2 linked regions of the Daphnia pulex genome follow. The protein of the gene in region 2 interacts with the protein of the main gene of each other region in a pairwise test. Links are inferred from orthologs where the notes say so. Each region holds a gene or a part of one and is shown on either strand. Other genes may lie near its edges. The genes, in order: ataxin-10-like and protein phosphatase 1 regulatory subunit 12A-like.

Region 1 (4,247 bases), on a different chromosome or scaffold from region 2:
CCTCGTCTAAAACAGTAGCGCGAACCATTGAAGAACAATGCTTAGCTATTTAAAAATTTAAATTACGTGGTATATGAGACATCCATTGGAGCCGTCCATCTACCCACCCCAAACCTGTCCACACCAACATTTCTGATGAAAACCAAATCGAGGAATGAAGGATCAGCTATTATATGCAGAAAAATTACAAGTCTTAATCAATATAATCCCAAATAAAAACTTAATCAATCAAAGTAATACCTCGAAATGGTCCGAATGAGCAAGTCCTCCATGGCGTTGGTAGCAGTGATCGGAAGCGTCGTGCCAAGAACGGCGCTCTTCAGAAATCAAGATGCAAAAACCCGTACCAGTTGAGCAGTTCCATGATTGCGGAGCCGCATGCGGCGCACCAGCAAAATAGATTAGCAGCAATTTAAAAAAATTGGCGATTAGATCCATTTTGGCCATAAGATGACTTACAGACGACCGACGGTAAGTCACTAGTATTTTTCGGAAAACGACGGTTACTTTAACCACCAACGTTCCCAAAACAGATTAAAATTTACTTCGTACTACGTTGCATTATCCAAAAACAAACAATGAGAACCACAATTATCAGCACACAGTCATTCCCACATCCTTAATAAAACTATGCATTACAACTGTAACCAAAATAGGTAGAAGAAACCATAGCCTAGAGCGCAAACCACAAGTCAAGGTTGCGAAATGGGTACTATAGGATAGATAAATATATGGTTTTTTACTAAGGTAGGCTTAATGTTTTCCATTTGAAAATCAGAAACTTCCATTTTTACTTGCACTTTGCACACTGTACACAATGGATGAGTATGGAATTCGATGGATTAGGGCTTTCGATTCGCCTCACAAGGTCGAACAGACAACCCAGAATCTGATTCCTCCACCACCATGCCTAGATCTTCTAACAGGGAAGGCTGGACTACTCCTTGCCGAGTCATGGAGCCGATCACTTCTTGATTTGCAATATTCTTCTCACACAAATTTCGAATTGCCAGGATTGACCATTGTTGAATGAAAGGGTTTCGGGCGTCCAAGTTGCAGCACTCTAGAAGTGGGGCGATGGCTTCGAGTTCACGGATTCGATCTTGAGCAGAAGGATTCTTGTAGCTTAAGTTGCCGAGTAAACGAACCAAATTACATTTGAAATTCAAGGCGGGATGAGGTTCGACCGATCCAAAATGATCATTGATAGTCGTAAAATAGTTTGATCCTGATTGGCCCAGACTATGTATGCTCCGTAGTAAGTCTGACAAAGCGAAAAGAATATTATTCTTACGACAATTTTAAAGGAGTTATAAGTTATACCAATAGTTGTAACTAAGAGATCGTCATCCAGAAAAAGTTCTCGATGACAAACATCACCAGAAGAAGATTTAGCTAGGATTTCAACAAGACTGGTCGCTTCCATGGCTTCCAGATCCAACGAGGGATTCTCGCAAGTTCGCAAAATTAGGCTAGCTCTTTCTAAAAAAAAAATTAATAATTTAAAATTGTGTAACCAAGAGGTAGATTTCCTTCAAACCTTGAAATAATCGGCTGAAAAATTGCCAATTTTGAACGTCCATGTCTTCGCATTCTGGAGAGAATTCTGAAATCTGGTGAAGAAGTAAGAGTCTTGTATGTATTTCTTGAAAGTTATACATATTTTCCAACATGTTTTGGTCACACATGAAGAGTTTGATTGCAAATTGTCTGTAAAAAAATGTAACCGATATTTATTAATGTTTAACAAAAATGTTGAAACTGTTTTACTCTTACGAATAAAGAATTCCTTTATGAGAAGACAAAATCAACTCAGCTGTCAGATCTCTCCACTTGTGGTTTGTTAACTCTTCTCTAATGGTGAGGGAATTTCTCAGCACACCGAACATGACAGAAGATGAGTATAAGCTTATTTTTTCATCTTCATGGGAAAGCAATTTACTACAGATAATCTGAAATCATATATCTAGATAGAATAATTTTGTTTTTCATAAGTCATACCTTAAATTAGATTGAAAACTTTCCCATATGATGTGGGATAAATTTGTATGTGTGTTCAATATGTTTCCAACACATTGAAGAATTACACGGGCAAGGACAATCTCTTCCACTGGAAACTCTTTTAATATGAAGCTTTCTAGTAGCTGATTGCATTTACTGAGCAACTGATTCCAAGTGTCAGGAAAGCTTTCCCAGTTTTTCCCACAACAATTTCTGAGAATGCGGGCACATTCAAGCACCAAGGGAACACCTACTGGTCTCTGGATGATTTTCAACAAAAGCTGCAAAATTTCATTTGGGATTGAAGACCTAAACTTATTTAACCAAAAATCAATCAAACAGTTAAGATGTGAGTATGATAAGACTTAATACCTAAAGTCATCTTCAACTGTCTGCTGAGTTAATGCCTGTAACTGGTTAAGTATGGGCTGATGATCGGTAGGGGACGAATTAAGATTAGCTAACCCTTCTTTTAACTTGAATTCTAATTCAGTCCAAAATGAATCTTTTGAGGAATTGCTCATATCGATTTTTTGGTTTTGCAGTAATGAGAGCAGCCGAAACCAATTTTTATGAAATCAAAATAAACACTTGTTGTGTTGAATTCCAACGTTGCCAACTGGTTGCCAATTTCACTCCTAATGCACAAGCAGCGCTTGAAATTTTGGTGCGAAATTTGAATTCGAGTGATTCGAGTACTTATTTTAATTAACTAAAGTAATTTCATAACCTTCGGACAAGTCCAAAGTTTAAAAGAGATGGGTAAACAAACTGTAAGCTACGCTTATGCGTGAGTGTGCAATAAACTGAAAGGAATTACTAGCCAAAGTAACCTCGAATGGGTCGTCTTTAATACCCACTCATTTTTCTATATCGATTACGAATTACTAAACAGTAACAATATTTGACTGGCTGTTCTCAGAATTATATACTGATGAATGAACTGATACGTACCCGGAACCCCATACGGCCATACATCGATTCACTATATATAGCGATCAACTATGGGAACTATAGTGAGTTTAACGACCGAGCAGAGCAGTTAGTTATACATTGCATCAAGGGTTGCATTTCAATGTACCTGTTCACTTTGTTGACTCTTTCCCAAACTTACCAAAAGGCTGAACGCTAAAAAATTTGTTGATACAATAGTCAATCCCAAATTCCCAACGTCGCGATAAACTGTATTTCAGGATATCTGACTAATATTTACAGTATGTTGCGTAACTCCACTATTAAAGCAAAAAGGAAATTAATGAAAAAAATTTGAATGTGGTAAATGTTCAAAGGAAATTACTCCAAGATAACGCTGAAGTATAATATATTTTGATTATTTTGAATCAGAAGCAGTTATGTTAATAAAATGCCAAATTAATATAACAGTAAACGCAATAACAAAGATAAATATTGCACTTTTTGGGATCGTTAGTCTTATTTTATGTAACCCAACATTGATCTGCAATAAATTAATCGAATTTCAAACATTTAACCTCGCTAATACAATTTAGGGCTTAGCCAGTTATGGAGGTTGTAGATATTGGTGTGCTGGTCTAATTCAATACTTATGTGTTAGTGTGTTGATGAAGGAATGGCTCCCAGCTCTCTGTTTAGCAGTATACAAAGTCGAACAATGATGGTATTCGCCAATTTATGTAAATCTGCCAGCAGATGCACTTATCTGAAAATATTTGTTACAACAGTGTCACTAAATAATCAGAAAATATTTCCTAGTAAGTAACCGACATGTTCACGAAGGGCTGTTGTCGTGTTTTGTCTCAGGCGACGATGGAATATTCCGACGGACCGCTGAATTTTCATCGGTTTTCTCGTTTTTCAGATCCACTGAAATTTGGTAAATTTCTTCCGGCGGAATATTATCAATTACTTTATGGAATGGCAGCAAATGTCCGCGTTTCTTGAAGGAATACGAAGCGAAGAAACTCCATCTGTGCAATTTTTTTTAAGTGAATATTTTTATACATGTATGAATTATGGTTAAAAGGAATTAAATCAGGATTACCCTGCACAGATAGCGGAAAAGGAGATACAGACGAGAATGCCAAATGTCTGTGGCCAAGGACAAGCGATGACTAGAAGAAATTTGACTGTGTCGAAGATCATATTCATTGAGCTTTGTACTCCGTTGATTGATCCACGAATCTGGTCATCCACTTGCTGCAACACTTGATTCACGCTCAAATCAGCTACCCACAAGCCTGAATAAGAAATTAAATGATATAACATTT
Region 2 (4,505 bases):
TCAAAACATCTTGTTCCGACTGTCTTCTGTAAGCCTGCAAAAAAAATTGATTTGCAGCATTTTATGATTAAGTGTTGACACAGGTAGAAAGGCTCAAAATAGGTTTACCGATGCATAAGGGTTGATGGATTCTCCATTGGCAATCTTTGGCCTGCAGCATGAATCATAGCAGGAAATCAGTATACCCATAGTGACGCTTGTCCCATTCGACGAACCTTGAACGTTCACACACAAGAAAACAAACGTCACTCTATAGCCGGAAAACAACTCAAAGTATATGTAAATGTTTACTTTTCAGGATGGGCCAATGTTGGTCATTTTTATGTGAAACTGGGAACAACACACGAAAACACGATTCGGCGCCACGATTATAGGGTAAGAATAAATAATTAAGATGTCTTTCTATCTAAACATTTGACTATTTGAGTGATGGAGGAGCGGTCTGCTTTTGTTTCCCGCTGTCAGAGCAAGACGGGTAAAGAGCAATAACAAGACGCAACAGGAGGATGGGAATATCCAATAAGAATTTGGCAACGCTCGAATATCAATTTTTCTTATCTTGGGTTCTTCCTCTTGTCTTTGAATTATGCATTAGGAAATTTAAAACGAACTTGTCGATCCAAAAGAATTCCATTACCGCTTCGTCTACAAAATCAATGTTATTCAAATAATTTATGGCAATCGAACAATCGGGTAGCCGTCGATTGCTAAACCATCAAAAGTAGAAACCTGGAAAAGGTTTTTTCATTATTTATACTGACATCAACTGCCATCTAATAGCGCAGATAGCATTTTAGGAGTTTAAAACCATTTCTACATCTTTCATCTCCGATTCCCTTATGGGAAAAAAAAATCATTCAGTTATCGATCAAAAACTTGTTTTCTTTTCCCTTTTCTCCCTCTACTTGGCCGCGTGATGGATCGGAATCCACATTTGGGAAATGCGGATAGGAGGCAACAAAAAAGGGGAAAGGGAGAAGGAAGAGAGAAACTTTGAAGATGAGTTTTATTTGGAAATGGATTGGCTCACCGGCTGTTGTCCTGCATCGTATTTTTATTTTCTATTTTTTTTTGTGGGATGGAAAGTGAAGTCATGACTGTTCGTGATGCCCAAGAACGGGCCGTTGGGTCAAGTGTGCGTGAGTGCCGGTGCACATACGGTCGGTTCCCGGGATCCGAATGTAAATGGAAAATGGTGAAGAAAAAAAAGCGTCTTGTCTTGCTCTGCACGTAGCGACTTGGCAACGCTGGTGAAAGCACCAAATGTTAAGTAAAGGTGGCGAGATTATCGAAAAAATTTCCTGAATCGATAGAACTGCCGCATGGGAGGCGCTAGTTGTCCATAGTTGGGCCCTTTTATAAACATTTCGATGGAGTGAATTAAAAAATTGTATGTGTCATTCATAAATGTTTTTGTTTTATGGGAACAATTCGTCGAATTTCGGGATCCGACGAAAAGATCTCATTGTGCTAGATAAAATATTCGTAACATCTTAACATATAACACGAGAGCTCTTTAGTCTTCACCCTCTTGTGAATAGTCAGCGCCACCTGGGAGAATTTCCAGAATAGCATGATGGTAAAATCTGTGGCGAGTGTACCGTTGATTCTTAGTTCCATGGGGGAAAAGTCTAAAAATAAAAACAAAAAAAAAAAAACTGAAAAAAAGAGGCCAAGATGGCGACGTCTGCTTGAGGCAGAATCGAGTCTCTTCCCCATCTCCATCCATTCATGTGTGTCTGTGTGTTGTAACTAGACGAAACTCGTGCCAATTTGGTGGGGGCGAAATATCCAGACTGCGGTCTTCTATCAATAGAAGAAGCCGCGTAAAGGATAGTCAGATATCGCCGGCCGGGAAAGGATTTAGATACAGTGTGTGCCTTCCCCGACGTGTTTATACAATAGCAATTGGCACCTCCCGTCTTCCACTCCCTTGTGTTGTCCTGTGCCTTCTTTCGCTCTCCTCCGATCTCTGAGGAGAGTCACATTCCCTTCAAGGGATCGGAAAGTGCCCGGGTTGCATTCTACAGTGGCTTACGGTTGCGTTGAAACGCCGCCAAAAACATGGAGTCAAGAACAAATTCAGCCCTGTTTAAGAGGGCTGAACAACTGAGAAGGTGGGAGGAATCAGAGACAAACAAGGAACCTGCCTCAGCTCGTGTGGTTTCAAGGAGAATCCAATTCTCAGATGGATGTGTATTTCTCTCCGCTTGTGCTGCCGGTGACAAAGAAGAAGTACTCAAACTCATACGGCAAGGAGCTGACATAGACACCCCCAATGTTGATGGTTTAACTGCGCTGCATCAGGTCAGTTTTGTTTTGGCCCTGTCAACAAACCATTTACGCCAGTCGTCTGACTTTGAGGGTTGTTTTCTTCATACAGGCCTGCATCGATGACAATTTGGATATGGTGGAGTTTTTGGTGGAGCATGGAGCTGACATCAATCGTGGAGATCATGAAGGCTGGACTCCTCTGCACGCCACAGCCTCTTGTGGATTTTTATCAATTGCCAGGTACTTAACATGACTAGTTTTGATGCTCGCACAATGCTAAACAACAGCTGTTTGGAATTATGAATTAGGTACCTGATTGAGAACAAGTCAGATGTTGCTGCTGTAAACAATGACGGTGAACTCCCTATTGATATTGCTGAAACAGAAGCCATGGAAGAGTTGCTTGAACGAGAAACACAGTTGCGAGGTAATAACAAAAACAATAACACTTGAGCTCACTTTTCACACGACACTACTATGGATTTATGATCAACAGGCATTGACTGCGATGCTGCTAGGAGCCAAGAGGAACGACAAATGCTTGCTGACACTAGTCGGTGGCTGGAAGGAGACCCGGCATCAGCTCGACTGCTCCAGCCGCACCCTAGAACCGGCGCTACTCCGCTCCATGTCGCTTCAGCCAAAGGTTACATCCGCGTGATGAGCATGCTCGTTCAGGGCGGAGGCGAGCTGAACATTCAAGACATTGACGGCTGGACACCATTACATGCGGCTGCCCATTGGGGACAGCGTGAAGCATGTCAACTCTTGTGCGAAAACATGGCGGACATGGAGGTCCGCAATTACGTGGTACGATCCAGCACGCCAACAGTGTGGCATCTAAAACCCGAATTCTCTTCATTTATTGTGTATGTCCATTCGTTTAGGGTCAGACTTGCTTTGATGTGGCCGATCCTGACATCATCCGGTTACTGGAAGAATGCAAGAAGCGTCAGGCCATCATTTTACGAGAGCGGCCAGAAGTGTACAATAATCGAGGCAACGCAAGGAACCAGTCACCACCCAAGAGACGGTGAGATTTTTTAACGACATTCTTGCAATTGTCTCTCGCCCTGGACTGTTTGTTTATATTTCCTGCGTTTGTTTGCTTGGGACTATTGTTAGATCGTCGGTCACCCGTACCCCGCAAACGGAGAAAGCTGCCATCCAGGCTTCGTCCAAAATCACGGATAAGGTTCCCGGTGCCGTCATCATGGTCGACGAGGAAAAAGAGAACAGCAGTGGCGAACTATCCTCGCCCGTGGCCCCTCTTGCCGTCCAGGAGTCCTTTGATGAACGAGCCAAACCTGCCACAACCCCTGCCACAACCACCACATCCGTCCCGACTTCAACGAAAGATAATTCTCCTAGAGTGGTAATCGTTTCCTTGTCTAATTTCAGCTCGGATTCTGATATTAATTTTCTGGTTTTTATTTTAAAAAAAGACTTCGTCAAGCGGACCCCCTTCACGTCCACCACCTCCACCGGCCACTGATGTGGACAACCTGCCTTCGTCTCCATCACAGCAATCGGGTCAAATGATTGAAACCGAGGAGGATGTTCCTTCTTGGAGAAGACCTGGTTCTTTCCGGTCGAGGCAAGCTGGTAGGCAAACGCTCATGCAACTTGGAAATGTTTCGTGTTTTAATTTCTAATATTTTCCATCAGCCAATGCTGCCAACGGCAGTGGAACATTGAACCACACTCCGGTCAAATCGGAGCGAGAAGGATTGAACCGGTCCATCTCTCAGCCTTTAACCCCTGTAGCGGCCGTCACGTCTTCTTCCTCCGCCACCCCTCAATCTTCTTCTACCACTTCGTCCAACCTCGCCTCAACCGCCTCATCCATCTCCTCGTCCACCTCCGCCTTGTCTACCGATACGGAAGTCACACTACGGAGAGCCCATAGTTTCGAGTCCGACGAACGGTAAGGATTGTGGGTGTTTGTCTGTGCAAACAATGACTTTATTTTAACCCTTGCACCGATAATATTCCAGCACTTAACTCATTAAAACAAACGAAACCATTTGATTAACAAAAACGGGTTTTTCCATCACACATTGAACGCGCATGGTCGTGTATGTGTTTGTGTGTATGTGTCCGTGCTCGCGCCGTAGATTTTATTCGCGGCTGCTGGAACTGCGGCGACGGATCAAGGCCAATTCCTTGCCATTGCTGGCAGCCTCGTCGCTCACTCCGATCGTGAGCGGCGGCAGCAACAGCGTTGGGGA

The links.
Region 1: the proteins of protein phosphatase 1 regulatory subunit 12A-like (region 2) and ataxin-10-like interact in binary tests that used the Homo sapiens proteins (3 or more experiments, as listed by UniProt). The link is inferred for Daphnia pulex from reciprocal best matches to the Homo sapiens genes PPP1R12A and ATXN10.

The regions. Positions count from the first base shown.
Region 1 is NC_060026.1:12,002,858-12,007,104, forward strand, and holds ataxin-10-like, read right to left. Parts: upstream 2,666-4,247; 5' UTR 2,526-2,665; coding exon 2,374-2,525; intron 2,311-2,373; coding exon 2,002-2,310; intron 1,942-2,001; coding exon 1,777-1,941; intron 1,711-1,776; coding exon 1,541-1,710; intron 1,483-1,540; coding exon 1,324-1,482; intron 1,265-1,323; coding exon 843-1,264; 3' UTR 522-842; downstream 1-521. Other genes in the region: uncharacterized protein LOC124205851, read right to left, coding at 1-6, 67-166, 241-447; solute carrier family 40 member 1-like, read right to left, coding at 3,749-3,947, 4,022-4,217. UniProt on the Homo sapiens protein: May play a role in the regulation of cytokinesis. May play a role in signaling by stimulating protein glycosylation. Induces neuritogenesis by activating the Ras-MAP kinase pathway and is necessary for the survival of cerebellar neurons.
Region 2 is NC_060023.1:10,247,730-10,252,234, reverse strand, and holds the start of protein phosphatase 1 regulatory subunit 12A-like, read left to right. Parts: upstream 1-1,641; 5' UTR 1,642-2,064; coding exon 2,065-2,307; intron 2,308-2,383; coding exon 2,384-2,514; intron 2,515-2,582; coding exon 2,583-2,701; intron 2,702-2,770; coding exon 2,771-3,084; intron 3,085-3,161; coding exon 3,162-3,307; intron 3,308-3,399; coding exon 3,400-3,649; intron 3,650-3,719; coding exon 3,720-3,879; intron 3,880-3,942; coding exon 3,943-4,201; intron 4,202-4,391; coding exon 4,392-4,505. UniProt on the Homo sapiens protein: Key regulator of protein phosphatase 1C (PPP1C). Mediates binding to myosin. As part of the PPP1C complex, involved in dephosphorylation of PLK1. Capable of inhibiting HIF1AN-dependent suppression of HIF1A activity.